Linked DNA regions of Zea mays. The protein of the gene in region 2 binds, or shares a complex with, the protein of the main gene of each other region. Links are inferred from orthologs where the notes say so. Each region holds a gene or a part of one and is shown on either strand. Other genes may lie near its edges.

Region 1 (10,730 bases), on a different chromosome or scaffold from region 2:
ACGACATCACACCAGCTGGGTGCCAAAATCTCTCCGGCTGCCACAACGGCATGTACTTAGGGCGCTAGCTCTCCTCTGCTAGACACATAGCACTCTGCTACACCCCCCATTGTACACCTGGATCCTCTCCTTACGCCTATAAAAGGAAGGACCAGGGCCCTCTTAGAGAGGGTTGGCCGCGCGGGGACGAGGACGAGACAGGCGCTCGCTTGAAACCGCTCGCTCCCTCTCCCGCGTGGACGCTTGTAACCCCCTACTGCAAGCGCACCCGACCAGGGCGCGGGACGAACACGAAGGTCGTGGGATTTCCACCTCTCTCACGCCCATCTCCGGCCACCTCTCTTTCCCCCCTTCGCGCTCGGCCTCGCGCTCGACCCATCTGGGCTGGGGCACGCGGCGACATTCACTCGTCGGCTTAGGGACCCCCGTCTCGAAACGCCGACAAATGAGTAGAAACTACATGCCAGGCTTTGTCATCAGCAGTCTTTTCAAGACATCATGGTGGTTTCACCGCGATATGTGTTCTTCAGAGTTTGGTTACCTGATTCACTTGCATAAGGCTCATGCCTGTTTTCTATTGATCTGTTTGTCCAATAAAAACTGTTGTAACCTAAAACCTGAAAACTATTGTAACATATTTTTTAACAATTTGCTAAACTTTGCAGGTTTTGAGCAGACCCACATATCTCTTTATTTCAATTATCTGGTGGCGCACCCTCACATTGCTAGAGCCTTCAACAAATTGCCATTCGACCACAAGTTAATCTGGGCTCGCAATTTCGTCAGTGAAAAGTTCCCAGGAGTGTGAGGGCAGTTGGTAGGTAGGCTTGGAGGGTTCTTTTGCTTGAACCACATCGAACAATGAATTGTGATTTATGTGTACCCAGGAGTGTGAGGGCAGTTAGTAGATAGGCTTGGACAGTTCTTTTGCTCGAATCGCGTCAAACAATGAAATGTGGTCTAAGTATGTCAGCAGAGTTTGCTTGAACATGTAGATTTTGTGGAAGCCTTAAACTTGATATTATGTGTAATGCTAGGACATATTATTATGTATTGTGTGGAATTAATAATATGTGTGTTTTGTGGACTTAATATTAGTTGTAACATATCATGAGATGGGGGCAATGACTGCAAACATTTTTTTGTGCTCTATTCTCGAACCAAACAAAGGACAGGTATACCTCTAACAAAAAAAAGGATCATCTCATCCTTTCGACCAAACAATACGAGGAATCATTCCATCTCAACCCAGTGACCATTCTATTCCATCCTCATTTGTTCCGTAACCAACCACACCCTAGGTGAACCTGACGGGCTAGCAGAGGTGCCGGACTGCCGGGTGCGTCTCCACCAGCAGCTTTGTCTCGCGGTCGCGGAGCAAAGCAAATCGTGGCCGCGCAGGGTGCGAGGAGCAAAGCTTCCTTCTTCTTCCTCCTCCGAGTAGCAGCTGTGTTGACGGCCTTTTCTGTTTTTTGTTTTGTTTTGTTTTGAAAAGTATAATGGTGCCCGCTTGTTTTTTTGCTTCATGCACCGAGAGACGACCGCTTTCTGATGATGACCGTCGTCGTTCCCGTCCGTCACGCTCACTCACTGACCGTAAAAACACGGTCGTGGCCCGTTGGGACCATCAGAAGAGGCGCTTGTGTCAGTGTTCCTGCGTAGTACACTAGTATTTTTCTTCAGTGTCCAGTACTACTGTGCGTACTCCACTCCAGTATCCGTCTCTCCCCTCTTCAGTCTTCCGCGGGCGCCATTAATAAAAGGAACAATTGGATCTATACCATTAAAAGATCCAAACTTTAGATATATACCATGGACCCCACATGTCATTGACTCATGTGAACCCACATGTAAGTGAGATAGTAATGGTATGGATCCAAAGTGGTGATCTTTTAATGGTATGGATCCAAATTTCCCTTAATAAAAACCCTGCTCGCCGCCTGTCGCTGCCTTCGTCTTTCTCGTGCCGCTCCTTCTCCTTCTCCTTCTCCTTTTCCTTCTCCATCTTCAGCTTCAGCTTTCATTGCGCAGGCTCATGGTCCCGGGGCCAAACTCTGAAACGTAGCCCTGTGATGATCGATCTCCTTGGACACACACACTGTCACACACACACACACTGGTTCGTCGAGATGCCATGCTAGCTGGTTACTGTTCCAACCACCGTACGTGTGGCCACATGCAGGGCTAGCTAATATATGTCAACTCCTAACAACTTCTTGTACGGTGTGGCCGTAGACCTTCTCTAGCTCTCATCGATCTGCTTACATGCAGTAGGGATCCAGGAACCATCCATCCATGTCAAACTCACGCCTCATCACAAGGGATACTATACGTGCTGTTTTTTCCGTCCATCAGTGGGAATATATACACACACAGGGCCGTATCTGACGGGGTGCGGTCGCATCGGGTCCAAAAAACAGAGAACCCCTAACTACTAGCCGCTACCATTTTTTTTGTTAAACTTATTTATTCTAGACACAAATACGCAAAGATCGATGCGCTATCGACAAGTCTCGTTTAGATTGTTAAAGTAATGCCTCAATTACTTATCGAATACTCCACCCGTTTTAAAATAGTATTTGTTTTAGCTCTTGATTTTTATGTTTATATTCAACTATATGATGATGAATCCACTAAAAAACAAAACGAATTCTATTTTGATACAATAAGAGTATTATTTAATATACACATGATGGTGCATGGGTGGAGAGAAGCTTTTTAAAATTGAAATGTTTTTTGAACTATTTGTGATCAACAATAACTCAAGATAGGTTAAATGACTTGCCGAATCTACATATCGAAAAAGTTATTGGATGAGATTGATCTCAGTGATATAAGCGATGACTTTGTATCACAAAATATTAGAAGATAGTTTTAATAATATCAGATAATAAGTAAGTGTTTTTGGCTATATTTTACACTTGTTATCTTATAAACTTCAAAACAGTGTATAATATTTTTTATGCGTCAAATATTCGACAATATATATATATATATATAATTATATATATTTGTGTGTGGAGGTGACCTTTATATCGGATTTCGTATTAGGTCCCTGAAAAGTCAGGAACTATATATATATATATTCAAAGCTCCTAGTATCTCTTCTAGTTAAAAGCAGCTAGGCTTTGAAGCGTTCTCCGCGTTTCTCGCATGCGCGGGTGACGGTATCGTGACACGTCTCGCAGTCCTCCACACGTCACAGTCCTCCTCCCTAGGTCATTGGAAAACTATCCGGAGAAACCAACGCACAAATCGACCGTGTGGGCCACCGTCTGTCTCTTGTCCAATCCACTCCATTTTTCTATCCCACATGACCGTGCTTCACGGACATACAGATTTCGTTTCGTGCTGATGCGTGCCCTCGACCCCTCGCCCATCCCTACCTCTTCGAATAGGCTTGTACCCATCACATTTTTCTCCTCCACGCACCGAGCAGGCGAGCACCCACCAGAGTACCAGACTATTCGTCCTCCGCTATTACCGCCATCTTCGTTTGTGCGCAGTCGCTGCCGATATCGCTAGCCCCAACCGCCCCGTGTCATCGCTGGCAGAGCCCCCTTCTCACCTCCGATCGCACGCCGACCTGGTCCGCTCACCACGCCACCGTGTTCCTCCCTGCCATGCCGCCTCCGACATCCCGGCCTTGCTTGTGCTCCTACTAGCCTCACCGCCTGCGACGAGCCTCTCTGCTTGCTGCTAGGGCCTCGCTGATGTGGATCTGCCCAGCTGCCATCACCATCTAAAAACTGTTCTCTAAACTAGTATAATAAATTCAGAGAGAGTTCCTACTCAACCGTAGCTAGCAGTGCGCCTTCCATCTTATTGCCCATCACACATATTTCAAAGAAGTGCGCTGCATGTGCCATTGACTACAACTACAAGCTGCGAAATCTGAACTGCTTGTAATCCTCACAATACCCAATCTTCACAACACCAAAGCCAAGCTCAGGGTCGGACGAGTCAAGCTAGTTCGATATCCAGCCCTAGTTAATAACTACGAGCTGTGAAATTTGAACTTGCTATCTTCACAGCACCAAAGCCAGAGCACTGTAGCATGTTGAAGTAGCAAGCTGGCTGGCTGTGGGAACACCACCACCACAGTCACACTCACACACACACACCAAAAAAAAAGGAGCATTTTGATGGCGCAGGGTCAGCTTGACTAATAGAGGTGAAACGTTGGACTTTAATACCCCGGCTTAATTTCTCGCCTAATCGCTACCGATATTCCATCACAGTTGGTTATACAATCTTTTTCTTTCGTCATACTCCACACGCGCTACACGGACTATATATAAAATTTTTTTTATTAAAAAGCACGTTGAAATAGTCCGAAAAAAAGAAAAGAGAAAAGATGTGTGTGCACACCACCGCAGAGAGGGGGAAGAAAGACGAGTGTATAAAGTGGACCGGGAAGAAAACGGGAAGCAAAATGGGCCGGCCCTAGCGCGCTAGAAGCCCAAACAGCCCATAGACAGCTGAGAGGCCGTGACCCCGCGTCCGAATCCGACCCCCAACCTCCCAACCCGACTACTACTGCAGCGAGAGGAAAGAGAAAAAGGAAAGGAAAGGACAAAGGAGCGGCGGCGAGGTCTATGGCGTCGACGGCGGGGTACCTGGCGCGGCGGGCGGCGCAGAAGGAGCGGGTGCGCCTGCTCTACCGCAGGGCGCTCAAGGACACGCTCAACTGGGCCGTCCACCGCCACCTCTTCTACCAGGACGTCAGTTCCTCCCCCTCCGCCTCCCTCTCGATCTTGATCTGGATCTCGATCTGACCTCGTGCTCCCTCTCCCGCGCAGGCGTCGGATCTCCGGGACAAGTTCGAGGCCAACCGACACGTGGTAAGGCCTCCTCCTGCCGATCCCTTTCCGCAGACCTCGCCTCCCACGTTTTGCTTCTGTCTGGTGCTCTATATGATGTTGGGTTTCGCGTGGGGTTGGTGGTGCAGGATAACCTGGACGTGGTCGATAGGCTCATTGACGATGCGGAGGCTCAGTACAGGAACTTCCAGCACCCCGATCCCTACATTGGTAAGCTTTTTTCTTGTTCTCCTTATCCTTTCTGACCAGTGAAATGTTTCGCATCAAATCATGTCGAATGGCAGCAACGCTTTTGTTTGGATAGACCATTGCATATGGATTAAATTTACTTTATAGTGAACCTTTCAGAGTTATTGCAGAAGTTTATAGATTTATACCTGCTAGGGGTATTAGTTTGTTCAGCCCTAGTAACACCGATGGTTATAATCCTATTTGATGAGATGAGATGCAAGTGAAAAGTTATTTGTAGTTGATTGTCGTCAAAGTTTTAATCTTATATAGAATGATTGTGCTAGTGTGTATGAACTACCAAATGTGCGAGGCAAGTCTCTGCTGGAACCCTAAAGCCTAATCTTTATATGCCTCTTCTTATCTCTGCAGTTCCATGGGCACCAGGCGGCACTAAATTCACAAGAAACCCCCCTCCACCTCAAGGGGTAAGACCACAGCTTACACCACTCTTTATGCGATGTAATATATTTGTGTTATGCTAATTTGATTCACTACAATGCCACAATCCTTACCGTTCATAATATTTTGCTTCTCTGTCTCCTGTGATCGCTTAAAAAAGTACACTGTTCCTAGTTTAAGCTAACTTAGTTTGAACGCAAGGGATGTAGCAGTACTTAAGGTTTCATCTGTAATTTCTCAATGGATGAGCGAGCTAGAGTTTTTATTTAAGGCCCCTTTGGAATGCGGGTTTTTTTAGTTGCAGTGCTTTGGCCAAAATTATAAATTCATCGCAGGAACTTTTACCAATTCTTACGCAAATGTAGTTGCTTTTACAGTTATTTCATAACCGAGTATCCTCTACTTGGACGTGATGGGGTGAACCATGCCAAACATCTCTGCTGCCATAGTATCATATTATTGGCTTAAAGTTTACAAAATGACTTCATCTTCTATGGCCACATTACCCTACCCCGTCCCCCCTCCCACACACACTGATTTGCTCGCCAAGTTCGTTTTTCATAGCACCGTTTCCTCTATTTGGATGCTACAGAGTATCTTATAGAGTTAACAAAACAACCTTGTTTTTTATGGCGGCATTATCTTGTTTAGCTTTGCTGAACTATCTTCAGGTACATGTAGCAAGATTCTGTACACCAAAATGTTGTACTAATGGCAATTGTGCCTTGTAGATCGAGATCATCTACAATTATGGCAAGGAGGACCAGTAAACAAGAGTCCTGCAAGCGGGGGGCAGAACTTCCACAGTTCCAAATCACTTCCTGTTTAATCGAGTTGTTGTACGAGAAATAAGAATGGAAATTACTGGACTCCATCCATGCTTCTCATTTGCTTGTTCTGATAATCATGTGCTCTTCATCTAGTGCATATTGAAGTCATGTTTCCTGTCATAAAATGGAACTGTACTATCTTTGTCGTGCAGTTTAAACTGACCGCCGGCATCTCAGTTTTTTTCTTTGGTTTTTCTGCGTTTTCACGTTTTTCTAGAGAAAGTATATAGATTCATGACATAAGATTTATGTTTTTAGATTTACTATGAAAAATACTTTCATAATATATGATTCATAATATATAATTCATATGCTGTGGAACTATAAGGACCTGTTTAGAAGTATTCTCATAATTTCTAAACAATACCATGATTTATATGAATACTGGAGTATTTTATGTTATAAGGTGTTTGGTTTTATGTTATAAGGTGTTTGGTTGTATTCTTAAAAACTATGTTTTCAAATTCATGGTATGGAATTCTTGATACCATTTTTTTTGGAGTATTGTAAACTCCATTACAATATAAAAATTTTATGGTATGGTTAGCTTTTGCTTAAATACCACGGTTTGCAATGTTAGACTATCTTCAGTAGATTACCCATCATCATCTCCATATTTAAATTTTTCTCTATAAACAACGTAATCTACAATGTAAAACATTGTTTATGGTAACAATATGTGTGAACCGGACACGGTCTTATATCTAAATATTGTTTCTAGTTTTTTAAGCTGTACAAAACTATAGCATTGTTATAACAATTATAAAGTATAGTATTATAAACTATGTTTTTTTTAAAAACATCATTGGCACAGTCCAAAAGGATTTTTTATTAGACCAAATAAATTTGATTTTTTATTAGACCAAATAAATTTGATGCGACATCGCCGACATGTAACAGAAATGGAGGGAATATGTATATAAGATGGTAATCTCTCTGTCCCAAAATAAAATTTGTTTTAAAAGATTAGTGAATTTATATAATACTTGATTTATGTATTTTTGCTCAAAATAAAATTTGTTTTAAAGGATTAGTGGATTTCATATAATACTTGATTTATGTGTTTTTATCTGTGTCTATATTTATTATCATTCATTTAAATGTAGACATAAATATTAAGAGCTAAAACCATTACTATCTTGGAATCTAAAAGAGTATTAGACCGTGTCCAGAAGTTTATCTATATGGTTATGTAAAATATTGTTTTACACTTTTTACATGGTAGATCGTACTGTTCATAAAATAAAGTTTGAATATAAAAATAATAATATATAAACTGTTGGAGATAGTCTTAAGGCTGGATATCGAGTCAGCTTGTCTGAGTTCAAGCTGGCTCGTTAAGCTAAAGAGTTGGCTCGGCTCGTTAATCTAATGAGTCACAGAGTCAGCTCGACTCGTTTAGCTCGCGAACCAGAGTACAAAAACAATACGTATATAATAATCAATTTTTAGTTAATTTTAAATTGTATTTAACAATAGAAAATAATAATTATATCCAGATTCACAAACCATGTCAATGTAACACCAAAATAACATAACTTATCACTCATCAATTCACACACATGCACATCAGTTTAACCCACAGTTATATTTGCATAGATCAATTTAACACATAGACATAGTTCATCAATTATTAGTTTAACTCATATGTCATAAACACCACATACATATAACATGTTCATCAATAGTTATGTATGATATGTATATATCTTTGTTTTGATGAAATGTGATAGTTCGTTTAGCTCACGAGCTGGCTTGTTAACAAAACGAGCTGCTCGTTAAGCTGGCTTGTTAACAAAACGAGCTGCTCGTTAAGGAACCAAGCTAGGATGTCAACTCAGCTCATAAAAAAATTCAAACAAACCGATTCGAGCTGACCATGAACCGAATGAACCAACGAGTCACGAGTATTTCATCCAACCCTAGTCTTAACCAAACACACCCTTTGTAGTCCGTAGCGTCGTCAATTTGGAGTCTTGGAGTCGCTTGCAGCAACCCTTTGTAAACACACCCTTTGTAGTCTGTTTGTTTGGGCTTTTTTTAGTTTCTAGCCACCAAAAGCTATTGCAGACCCAAATACCCCAACTTTTCAGCCCGTTTATAATTGTTTTGGTAAAACCCATCCAAAATTAACGTGAATACAGAAAACCGTCGCTTTCTATATCCTGAACCCTTTGGACCACTTTATCTTCCCTAGCACGTAATCTCCACAATACTCAGATTTTTCTCACAGCCATATTTTCTCTACAACTAGATTCTTATAAAAGTTGGTTAGAAAAAAGTTGAACCAAAAATCAACATTGCCCTCCACTCGAGTCCACCAACGATAGAAAGACTGGAACCAATATCAAACTACTGGACAAATCATATCAGTACCCACATGAGATGTTTAGCTAGCACAGTTCCATTAGGCGACCACATGGCAGTATGTACATTTTCTTTTCCAATAAATAAAGACCATTTATGTACACAAGGTGAGGTCACAGGGTACAGTTAGTTCATGTACAACGGCCGGGATGTACAGCACAAATACAAGTCACGGTGCTGATCCATATCGACTGCGCAGCTGCATCCCATTCCATAAACCAAGCACCGTCACCAGGCCCCATAGAGTTGGCTTCGACTCGAAATTGCTGCTGCTGAAGCACAAAAGTACGGCATACTTCCTTTCTGCAGGTTAACCATCATTGTTGCAGCCAGAGCTCAGAGCAGCAGCACATGTAGTGGCACACTGTCAAAATGGAAGACTTCGACAGTTAACTTAGTCCATGCTCCGTGCTCTGGAGATGTGCATATTATGGGCAAAAGCCACATTGCGTACCTCATGATTGGAAGAGGGTGACAGTTGCAATATATCCGTTTTTCATCACCTATTGACCCATAAAAATAACACGATGTCACATCTGATATACACAGGGGGACACAGATTTGGAGTGTGATCTAATAACACCCACCTCGAAAGCGATATTCTGATAACCATATACAAAAGTTGATCCAAATGGATTGTTCATGGAGCCTTGTGTCTGGATTGCAGCTCGGCCACAGTCACCGAGGATCTCCTAATATAGTAATACCAAAGGGTTGTTAAAAGAACAGAAAAATATAACAGATGGCACGCAATAAGATAGCATACCGGCACTTGAAGCGTTGCTAGGTTGATAATACAGATTAGACAAATATCTACTTAAAAGGTAAGTGCTCTAGAAAAAGCAAAGGCAAAGCTGACATTCTTAGTGCAAGAACATTAGTGTGATTATGCTAACAGCCCAACTATGCAAAATAAAACCTAGTATATCATTATTATGTCATAAGTTTAACATTCACTATTTAAGAAGGATATAAAGGATTCATGAAAGTAATCCATGAAGCCAACGAAATAAGATGAAAAAGGGGTGCAAAAATTGTAGCATAAGGCATTTCAAAGCAAAGATGATAATTTTAGAACTACATGGCAAAAAACAAACGGCATTCTGAAGGCAAATAACACATCAAGGACTACCAGTGGTACCATCAACAGTGTTAATAAGTCATGTAGAATGCCATACCTTGACTTGTTCCCATTTTGTACTAGGTGTTATGCAATTTTTTGAGGCATTATTAGGCTGACATGTACCTTCAGCTGAGAAAAGAGCAGATGGATGATTGGATTGGATTATTCCATCACAGCAAACTATTTTTTTATTACAAGTAGTTCAGACCTTCAGCGTCGTATATAACAAAGTTGCATTTCTTATATGAATTGAAATCTGAGTGGCCAGGGAAGTTTGTATGCAAAACAAACTTCTTTATCCTATGTGTCTGCAAGGACAATAAAGTCTGTCAATATGCTATTCCAAATCCAAGCCAATAAAAAAGATGCTATTTACAGTGTTGCACAAATCCTAGTGTGATGAAATACTCCACACCTGTCCATTAAATAAGATATCAATTCCACGTGAGAAGTAGTTGTAAAAGTAATCTCCACAAAGGGTCGTCCGAGGCCTGGCTTCTGATGCGGAGTGTATGACCATTTGGTCCACCTTGCAAGATGGGAGAACAAACATAGTTAGCTTTCCAGCAGAGAATGCACCAACGATTCCAGAGAGAATGTCATTCTTTTTATATTGATCTTTACCAAACAAAACCTAACCATATGTCACAGAAATACGGATTAGTTTCATGCTTCCAATAGCTCTGTATAAGCTAAAATGTTATCTAAATGCTTCCATGAGTAAGCAAAAAAAGTAAATTCACAAGGAAACCGGTTCAGTTTAACATGTCATATGTTAAATAATGTTGGCAACTCAAAGAAATGCATATTATGTGAAATCTCTACTCTAATGCCTCAATTAAAACTGACCTGCTTCTGATGGATACCACAAGGACGACCCAAGTCAGTCCAGACATCCTGCAGAAGAAATTCAAGTAAAAGACAAATCAGGGCAATGTAAAGTTATATTTTTATTTC
Region 2 (9,671 bases):
CACTTTTTGAGAGACCACCAGCAAAAGGGAGATATCGAAGTGTTTCATGTTAGCACCGAGAACCAGCTAGCCGATATCTTCACTAAGCCTCTAGATGAGAAGACCTTTTGCAGGTTGCGTAGTGAGCTAAATGTCATAGATTCGCGGAACCTGGATTGAATTGTAGCATACATGTACTTATGCTTTTTGATCATGTTCCTTTTTGCATTTTGTTGCTTATTATGGTGCTCAAGTTGTACAAACACTCCCTGGACCTCACAAGTCCGTTGCAAAGTGATGCACATGTTTAGGGGGAGATGTGTTACAACTTGACCCTTTGAGACTAACCATGTGCTTGAGTTTGATGATTTAGTCTCGCAGGAGGATTGAAAGGGAAAAGGTGGACTTGGACCATGAAAGACTTCCACTGCACTCCGATGAGAGGGTAACTAATTCCAAGTTCATCTCATGACATCTTATTGCCATTTGCTCTTCATTGAAGACTTTGGTGAGGCAATGGGGTTAAAAGGCCAAGGTTGATCCCGTTTTGGTGCTTGATGCCAAAGGGGGAGAAAATAAAGGCCAAAGTGATAAATGGATCAGCTACCACTTGAGAGATTTTGAAAATAGTAGAATAGAGTTTTTGTTTTGTCAAAAGCTTTTATTGTCTCTTATTGTCTCTATTGTCAAAAGTTGGTTTCTTGTGGGGAGAAGTGTTGATTATGGGAAATAGGGGGAGTTTTTGAACTCTTTGATCAATCTCTTTTGGAATGACTCTCTTTATGCCTCAACATGTGTGTTTGACATAGAAATAGAGATGTGAGTTTGATTTCAAAAACAAACCAAGTGGTGGCAAAGGATGATCCATATATGCCAAAATTGAATCAAAACCAATTTGAGTTTTTATTTTAAGTGATTTTGCACTTGTTCTAGTTGCTTTATGTTGTGTTGGCATAAATCACCAAAAAGGGGGAGATTGAAAGGGAAATGTGCCTTTGGGCCATTTCTAAGTATTTTGGTGATTGAGTGCAAACACAAGTGCTTAAATGTGAAAATATGCCCATGGATGAACAAAGTGCAAATCACAAGTTAAGGTATGTTTCTAAGCCTTAGTACATTGGTTTTGTGTACTAATATTCTTGTCTAAGTGTTAGAAACAGGAAGAAGAAGAAAAGAAAAGAAGTGGAGAGTGGCTGTGTACAGCCAAAGGCTGTTTCGGGCTGGGGCACCGGACTGTCCGGTGTGCACCGGACAGTGTCCGGTGCGCCAGACCAGCGTGGAGCAAACCAGCCGCTCTCGGGTTTTTCTCCGGCGACTTCGGCTAAAATTCACCGGACTGTCCGGTGTGCACCGGACTGTCCGGTGAGCCAACGGTCGGCCGGGCCAACGGTCGGCCGCGCGATCGGCGCGCGACACGTGGCCGAGCCAACGGTCGGAAAGGTACACCGGACTGTCCGGTGTGCACCGGACATGTCCGGTGCGCCAACTGTGCGCAGATCTGCATCAGAAAGCAACGGTCGGATGAGCGTTTTATGGAAACAAATCGGGCACCGGACAGTGTCCAGTGTGCACCGGACTGTCCGGTGCGCCCGACGACAGAAGGCAAGGATAGCCTTCCAGATGTGTTCTCAACGGCTCCTAGCTGCCTTGGGGCTATAAAAGGGACCCCTAGGCGCATGGAGGAGAACACCAAGCATTCCTACAACCTTTCTAAGCACCAAGACATTGATCTAGCGCATTCGATTCATTGTGATAGCATATAGAGCTCTTGTGGAGTTGTGTACTCTTTGAGTTGTGTTGCGAGCTCTTATTGCTGCTTGTGTGCGTGTTGCTCTGATTTTTTGAGGTCTTGTGTGCGTTGCTCATTCCCTCCCTTGCTCTGTGATTCTCTGTGAACATTTTTTGTAAGGGCGAGAGGCTCCAAGTTGTGGAGATTCCTCGCAAACGGGATTGAGAAAAGAAAAGCAAGAACATCGTGGTATTCAAGTTGATCATTGGATCACTTGAGAGGAGTTGAGTGCAACTCTCGTCCGTTGGGACGCCACAACGTGGAGTAGGCAAGTTTTTGTACTTGGCCGAACCACGGGATAACCACCGTGTCATCTCTGTGATTGATTTCTTGTGGTTATTGTGTTTTGACTCCTCTCTAGCCACTTGGCCATACTTGTGCTAACACTTAACAAGTTTTTGTGGCTCAAGTTTTGAAGTTTTACAGGATCACCTATTCACCCCCCCCCTCTAGGTGCTCTCAGCGAGGTGGCCGGAGACGGGCGTGAGAGAGGTGGAAGTCCCGCGGCCTTCATGTTCGTCCCGCGCCCAGGTCGGGTGCGCTTGCAGTAGGGGGGTTACAAGCGTCCACGCGGGTGAGGGAAGCGAGCGGCCCCAAGAGAGCGCCTGTCCCGTCCTCGGTCCCGCGCGGCCAACCTTCTCTGAGAAGGCCCTGGTCCTCCCTTTTATAGGCGTAAGGAGAGGATCCAGGTGTACAATGGGGGGTGTAGCAGAGTGCTACGTGTCTAGCGGAGGGAGAGCTAGCGCCCTAAGTACATGCCAATGTGGCAGCCGGAGAGATCTTGGCACCCTGCTGGCGTGATGTCGTGGCTGTCGGAGGAGCAACGGAGCTTGGCGGAAGGACAGCTGTCGGAGCGGTCGAGTCCTTGCTGACGTCCACCTGCTTCCGTAAGAGAGCTGAGAGCCGCCGCCGTCATAGAGCTTGGGAGGCGCCATCATTGCCTATCTGGCGGAGCTGGTAAGATGGGACACCGGTCTTGTTCTCTGCGGCCCGAGTCGGCTCGGGGTAGAGTGGTGATGGCGCTCCCTGTTGACGTGGCGGGCCCGCGCCCGAGGCCGGGCGACGTGGGGGCTCCTCCGAAGCTGGGGTCGAATTTGTCTTCCGTTGCCGAGGCCGAGTCCGAGCCCCTGGGTCGGGCGAGGCGGAAGTCGTTCGGCATAGGCCAGGGCGGAGTCCGAGCCCTGGGGTCGGGCGAGGCGGAGTTCATCGTCTTCCGGGTCTTAACCCGAGTCCGAGCCCTGGGGTCGGGCGGAGCGGAGTTCGCCGTCTTCCGGGTCTTAGCCCGAGTCCGAGCCCTAGGGTCGGGCGGAGCGGAGTTCGCCGTCTTCCGGGTTTTAGCCCGAGTCCGAGCCCTGGGGTCGGGCGGAGCGGAGTTCCCTATGGCGCCCCTGGCGAGGCCTGACTGCCTGTCAGACTCACTCTGTCGAGTGGCACTGCAGTCGGAGTTGCGCAGGCGGCGCTGTCCTTCTGTCAGACCGGTCAGTGGAGCAGTGGAGTGACGGCGGTCACTTCGGCTCTGCCGGGGGGCGCGCGTCAGGATAGAGGTGTCAGGCCACCTTTGCGTTAAATGCCCCTGCAACTCGGTCAGTCGGTGCGGCGATTTAGTCAGGGTTGCTTCTTAGCGAAGCCAAGGCCTCGGGCGAGCCGGAGATGTGTCCGCCGTTAAAAGGGGGGCCTCGGGCGAGATGGAAGTCCCTCGAGGTCGGCTGCCCGAGTCCGAGGCTAGGCTCGGGTGAAGCGTGATCGAGTCACTCGTATGGACTGATCCCTGACTTAATCGCACCCATCAGGCCTCTGCAGCTTTATGCTGATGGGGGTTACCAGCTGAGAATTAGGCGTCTTGAGGGTACCCCTAATTATGGTCCCCGACACAAGGTATAAACTAAGTGTGGATGATGAGAAATATAAGAGTTAATCCACCACGAGATCCACACGAAGAACAAACCTATATGCCTATCTTGCGAGCTAGAAAAACATAATCACGGATCCAAGCAAGAGCACAAGATACGAGATTTTATCCCGAGGTTCAACTCAGCTGAAGTCAAGTTCAACTCAATCAAAGAAAAGCTCAACTCAGCTGAAGTTAAGTTCAACTCAACTGAAGAAAAGCTCAACTCAGCTGAAGTCAAGTTCAACTCAGCTGAAAAAAAGCTCAACTCAATTGAAGTCAACTTCAGCTACTTTTCAATATAAAGACTCTTCGTATCTCAAACCTGACATCAGTCGAACCACAGAGTGTCCAAAGAATTTGCTTTTCAAAAGAGCTTTTGAATTTAGAGGCTTGAGCAATAGTAAACATCATTACCTGTGCGAAAACTGCCCAGAAAGAAATAGATCACGCGACTCAAGAAATATAGAAAGTTTTACATATCTTCACATGGAAACTTTTCAAAGCACCACTTTATATATTTCATTTGTCCTTGATACTTTCTTTTTCCTTTCTCAATTCAAGTTGTTACTCCTTTTATCTTTATTGACACTGAATATACACTATAAACAACTTGTTAGAAACCTTATCTATTTTGTCATTTAATCACTAAAATCCTTAATTAGGGTTGATTGCAGTTACAGATATATAACAACCGTAACAAAGTATGTACAACGGGCTAATGATGAGTGAAGCTCGTTCGAACGAGGGTCATTTTGACGAAACCCATATTTAACTATAACGAGGGTAAAGAAGCCGATGACTCTGAGATAGGAGGTGGGATTGCAGAGTCACGCGTCAGTTCGTTCCCTCCTCTGTGTACCGGCCAGTAAAATCCGAACCCACAGCGAGAAATGGCGGCGGCAGCGCTCCGTCCGGCGATCCTCCGCCGCATCCGCCTCTCCCCCTCCCCTTCGCTCGCCCTCGCCGCCGCTGGGACAGGTGCATCCCACCCGCACGCGCTGGGGCGGTGGCTCGCGCGGCCCATGTCCTCCCACGACGCGCACCTCACCCGCGACGAAGTCATCGACCGGATCCTCGACGTCATCAAGAGCCACCCCAAGATCGACCCCTCCAAGGTAACCGAACCCTCCACCCAATCCCGCATCACGATGGCGTCGAGCCCCACAAATCCTACTAACCCTAGGCTGTGGCCGCGGGCGGCGGCAGGTGACCCCGGAGGCGCACTTCGAGAAGGATCTGGGGCTCGACAGCCTGGACACCGTCGAGGTGGTCATGGCCATCGAGGAGGAGTTCAAGCTCGAGATCCCAGACATGGAGGCTGACAAGATCGACTCACTCCCTCTGGCCATCGAGTACGTCGCCAACCACCCCATGGCTGGCTGAGCCTCTGCTCGCCCGAGAGGAGGCGAGTTGAGGTGAGGCTTCGCTTGGTTTTGTTTCCGAGGGCAAATAATCTGCTGGAGTGGCACAGAAAAACTTGTTCCTGGTGCTCTGCATTGCTTCACGGTGACGGATGATGATGTCGAAATGGAACATTAACATTTTCAGCGTTAGATTGTTGTTTTTGTGTGCGTGTTATATCTATATATACTGGTTGACAAACTAGTTTGGTTGATTGAGTCTGATCGTTGTTGGGTTATTTGAATTGGGTTCGTGATAGTTTCCCATGATATTTTATCTGTTTTCCATGTGCTTTTGGGAACCTAAATTGATAAGAACGGCTTACAAGGATTGATGTAGGTTAAAAGTCTCAGGGTTCATGACAGCTGTTAGTGTGGCCTCTTGTTGTCCAACTCTTGTTCCTGTTAATGAGGCTTGAGTCTGTTTTATTTGTCAACATTATGGTTTTGTTGGTTGGAAGTATTCCACCTATTGCATGAGAAGAGATCAAAGGAAAGTGTGGCCTCTTGTTCTAACATTTTTGACAAAAATATTTTATTCTGTTAAATTGAAAACCATTGCATAAATAGTTAATGGTTCACTTAGACTTTGAGTGTCTTGCTCTCAGCAGAATTGAGAAGGGCTTTATTCTGTTGGTTTATCATATTCTCTTTATCAGTTTAACACAAGCAAAATTTTACCAGCAATCTTCGACTGATCGTGATTAGTTGGCCTAGCCAGTCCCTTGAATTCTACCATGGGTACCAAGGTTAGCTTGACTAGATTTCTGGTCGTCTGACTAGTCGTCAATAAATCATGATTAGTCATCTGATTATGAAGGGGATGACCAGGGTGCCTGACTGCCTGCCCTCTTTGGGCGGGTCTGCTCCACTAGGCTCTGAGGCAACTAGTGGGTTACCAATTTGGCCTGGTAGGGTTAGCATACCACTTCCCAGGATTCATAAAAAGGCAGACACAGCAGGCACCAGAACTTGGCACGAACCTCGGAATTCCTCTGTCTTCTCCCACTGCGATTCGCCCTCTCCTGTCTCTACTCTGCTTTGCTGTCACTGCCCCTCTGATACTCTGCTCTGTTTTATGCAACCCTCCTAGCCACCTGATGCTCTGGTGAGCTGCTCTAGTAGACTATAGTTAGTGTGGTGTTGTTGTTGTGCTACTGCCCTTGAACCTGAAGGTATAAAAATCTGATTGTGGTGTATGTTTATATGTGCATATGTCCTTGAACCTGAAGGGCTGAATCTTCTTGCCATGTTGTATTGGTCCTTGCTTTTTTGTTAATGTTATTATATAGTATAATAGGTTTATATTGTATATTTGTATGCATAGTGTTTGGTCCTGGAATATATAGGGTGACTAGGACCGACTGGGCTCAACTAGTCGGTCTGGCCGACGACGAATCATGACTAGTTGTGTAATGATCTCGACTTCTGAGGTTGTATGAGTGGGTAGTAGGGCGAGGCCTTGAGGATTGAGGGCGAGAGGGAGCCGTGCTGGCACACGGCTGAGACAGAATGTGGCAAGGAGCAATACTCTTCTTAGATTGATCTTTGCTAATCCTCCTAGGTACAAACTAAGGACTTTATATAGTCCAGTACAGGCGCACATAAACTGCTGCCGCCCCTATTTATTCTCTAACAAACTCCTACTATTTCTCCTTTGATATCTAATCTAAACAAACTTATCCTTATCCCTTTAATCTTGATCTCATGGCGTGGCCTGGCCTATGGGCTGCTTGGGCCGCCTTTCATATGTTTTACCCACCATAACATCTCTCCCCTTCTCCGAGAACAGCTCGTCCTCGAGCTGAAAATGGGGGTAGGAAGACGTGAACTGTTGCAATGGCTCCCAAGTAGCTTCTGTCTGCTGTGTTCCACTCCATTGTACCTGAACATGCCAGACACCTCGTTGTATTCTTGCTTTGAGCACCTTCTCTGGTGAGGGCAGCAGTCGACCATTCTCCATTGCTGGAAGAGCAGGAGGTAGCACTGGTGGGACGCCTCTGTATGGTTTGAGGAGACCAACGTGAAAGACGTCATGGATGCGTGCTCCCGTTGGGAGTTCCAGGCGGTAGGCGACCTTGCCGATTCGTTCCGTGATACGGAAGGGTCCAGCATAGCGAGGTCCCAACTTGCCTTTGGGTCGGCGCACCAGGGACTGAGCTTGACGGTTGAGCAGGCGGAGCCAAACCCAGTCGTCCACTGAGAAATCCAAGTCTCGATGATGTGCATCATAGAATCGCCGAGCATGTTCTTGTGCTTGCAGCAGCCTGTCTCGAACTTCACTAAGGAATAGATCACGTTCACTAAGCATTTCATCAACTGTCTGGTTTGCTGTTGAGCCCGGCTGGTAGGTAAGCACTGGAGGAGGATCCCTGCCATAAACCACTCGAAATGGGGTAGTGTGCAATGCTGAGTGATAAGCTGTGTTGTAGCAGTATTCTGCCCATGGTAGCCACTCAACCCATGCCCGTGGACGGTCTCCTGTGATGCACCGGAGGTACATTGCGATGGTTTTATTAACAACTTCTGATTGGCCATCTGTTTGTGGATGGAAGGCTGTACTCATCCGAAGTTTGACACCTGATAGTTTGAACAGTTCTCGCCAAACGTTCCCAGTGAAGACGGGGTCACGGTCACTGACAATAGACTGGGGAAAACCGTGAAGGCGAACCACCCCTTCAAAGAAAGCTCGGGCTACACTTGTTGCTGTATAGGGGTGGCTTAAGGCAATGAAGTGCGAGTATTTGGAAAATCGATCTACTATTGTCAAGATAACTGATTTGCCATGCACCTTTGGAAGCCCTTCTATGAAGTCCATGGATATGTCTGACCAAATCTGGGAGGGTACCTCAAGAGGTTGCAGCAGCCCAGCTGGGTGGAGAGCTTCAGTTTTGTTTTGTTGGCAGACTAAACATGCCCTAACCCAATCCCTTACCAAGGCTCTATCTTTGGGAACAAAAAAATCGGCCCGTAGTCGGTGTAATGTTTTCTGGATTCCACCATGACCAGCCGAGTGGGCTGTACCGAGTATGGCCGGCAGCAGGGATGAATTTGGCGGCACAAAGATTTGTCGGCCATGCAGAATGAGCCCATCAACCATTCGCCATGGTTCAGTGAGGGTGCCGTCTTTGATCTGAGTACAAATGCGTTGACAGTCTTGGTTAGAGGTGCACTCCTGACGCAACTCTTCATACAAATGGAAGGTGGGGCTAGACAACGTGGCAATCATGCCGTCGGTAGTCTGCCTTCGTGACAAGGCATCTGCCACTGTGTTGAATCGGCCTGCTCTGTATTCCACGATAAAGTCAAACCCAAATAGTTTGCTGATCCACTGATGCTGAGGCACTGTTGACAATCTCTGGTCGAGCATGAATTTTAGACTGAAGTGATCTGTGCGCACTGTGAATCGACGACCCCAGAGATATGATCGCCAGTGACGAACTGCCTGAACGAGACCAATGAGTTCACGTTCATAAGCTGCGAGCTTGACATGACGGGCTGCAAACGGCCTACTAAAGAATGCCAGGGGCCCAGATCCTTGATGCAGGACCGCCCCAAATCTAGAACCAGAAGCATCACAGTCCACAATGAACATTTGATCGAAGTTGGGCAGCTGCAACACTGGGGCTGTAGAAAGAGCCTTTTTGAGTTCCTGGAATGCCGTGTCAGCAGCCAAACCCCACTTGAAACCTTCTTTCTTTAGTAGTGCTGTTAATGGTGCTGCAATAGACCCAAAATCTTTGATGAATTTTCTGTAGTAGCCTGCCAATCCCAAGAAGCCACGTAATCCACGTGTTGATTGGGGAACCGGCCATGAGGAGACCGCTTCCACTTTGCTATTGTCCATGGCTACCCCGTCTGCTGAAATCACATGACCCAAGTAAGCAACTGAGGTGGCTCCAAAGGAACACTTGGACTGTTTAACAAAAAGGTGGTTACTGCGCAATGTTTCGAGTACCGCCTTGACATGTCGAAGGTGTTCAGACCAGGATGCACTGTAGATGAGGATATCATCAAAAAATACCAATACACAACGACGGAGGTACGACCCCAGGACTTCATTCATAAGGGCTTGGAAGGTTGCTGGCGCATTTGAAAGTCCAAATGGCATGACCAGGAATTCAAAATGGCCGTGGTGTGTCCGAAAGGCTGTCTTATGAATATCCTCCGAATGAACCCGTACCTGATGGTATCCTGAGCGCAGATCTAGTTTGGTGAAGAACTTGGCCCCGTTGAGTTCATCAAGGAGCTCATCAACTACTGGTATAGGGTACTTGTCTTTCACTGTGCGCTCATTAAGGGCTCTGTAGTCAATGCAGAAGCGCCAAGAATTATCTGCCTTCTTAACCAATAGGACTGGAGCGGAGAAGGCTGATGTACTATGTCGGATTGTTCCCTGTTTCAGCATTGCTGCACACTGCGCCTCCAGTTCATCTTTCTACAGCTGAGAGTATCTATAAGGACGTACCGCCACTGGTGCTGTGCCTGGCATCAGGTGGATGCGGTGGTCACATGGTCGTGCTGGAGGGAGACCCGTTGGGGATGAGAAAACATCATCAAATTGCTGGACTAGGGAGTCCATCATTGGTGTCGGGTTTGATGTTGAAACACG

The links. The genes of interacting proteins can lie anywhere in the genome.
Region 1: the proteins of Acyl carrier protein 1, mitochondrial (region 2) and NADH ubiquinone oxidoreductase B22-like subunit are in contact, whole or in part, in a cryo-EM structure (PDB 8BEH), measured with the Arabidopsis thaliana proteins. The link is inferred for Zea mays from reciprocal best matches to the Arabidopsis thaliana genes MTACP-1 and CIB22. Residues at the interface, in NP_181990.1 of Arabidopsis thaliana: Asp78, Ser79, Leu80, Asp81, Val83, Glu84, Val86, Met87, Glu90, Glu91, Lys94, Leu95, Glu96, Ile97, Asp99, Lys100, Ala102, Asp103, His118, Met120; in NP_567970.1 of Arabidopsis thaliana: Glu18, Arg21, Ile22, Tyr24, Arg25, Arg26, Leu28, Lys29, Leu32, Arg38, Phe41, Arg49, Phe52, Asn53, Tyr84, Ile85, Val86, Pro87, Trp88, Ala89.

What each region holds. Positions count from the first base shown.
Region 1 is NC_050100.1:62,643,070-62,653,799, reverse strand, and holds NADH ubiquinone oxidoreductase B22-like subunit, read left to right. Parts: upstream 1-4,507; 5' UTR 4,508-4,598; coding exon 4,599-4,724; intron 4,725-4,802; coding exon 4,803-4,844; intron 4,845-4,951; coding exon 4,952-5,033; intron 5,034-5,423; coding exon 5,424-5,479; intron 5,480-6,184; coding exon 6,185-6,223; 3' UTR 6,224-6,602; downstream 6,603-10,730. Other genes in the region: uncharacterized, read right to left, coding at 9,106-9,153, 9,238-9,342, 9,829-9,902, 9,982-10,081, 10,189-10,302, 10,623-10,670. UniProt on the Arabidopsis thaliana protein: Accessory subunit of the mitochondrial membrane respiratory chain NADH dehydrogenase (Complex I), that is believed to be not involved in catalysis. Complex I functions in the transfer of electrons from NADH to the respiratory chain.
Region 2 is NC_050102.1:20,659,117-20,668,787, forward strand, and holds Acyl carrier protein 1, mitochondrial, read left to right. Parts: upstream 1-4,456; 5' UTR 4,457-4,549; coding exon 4,550-4,774; intron 4,775-4,865; coding exon 4,866-5,042; 3' UTR 5,043-5,575; downstream 5,576-9,671. UniProt on the Arabidopsis thaliana protein: Carrier of the growing fatty acid chain in fatty acid biosynthesis. May be involved in the synthesis of short and medium chain fatty acids.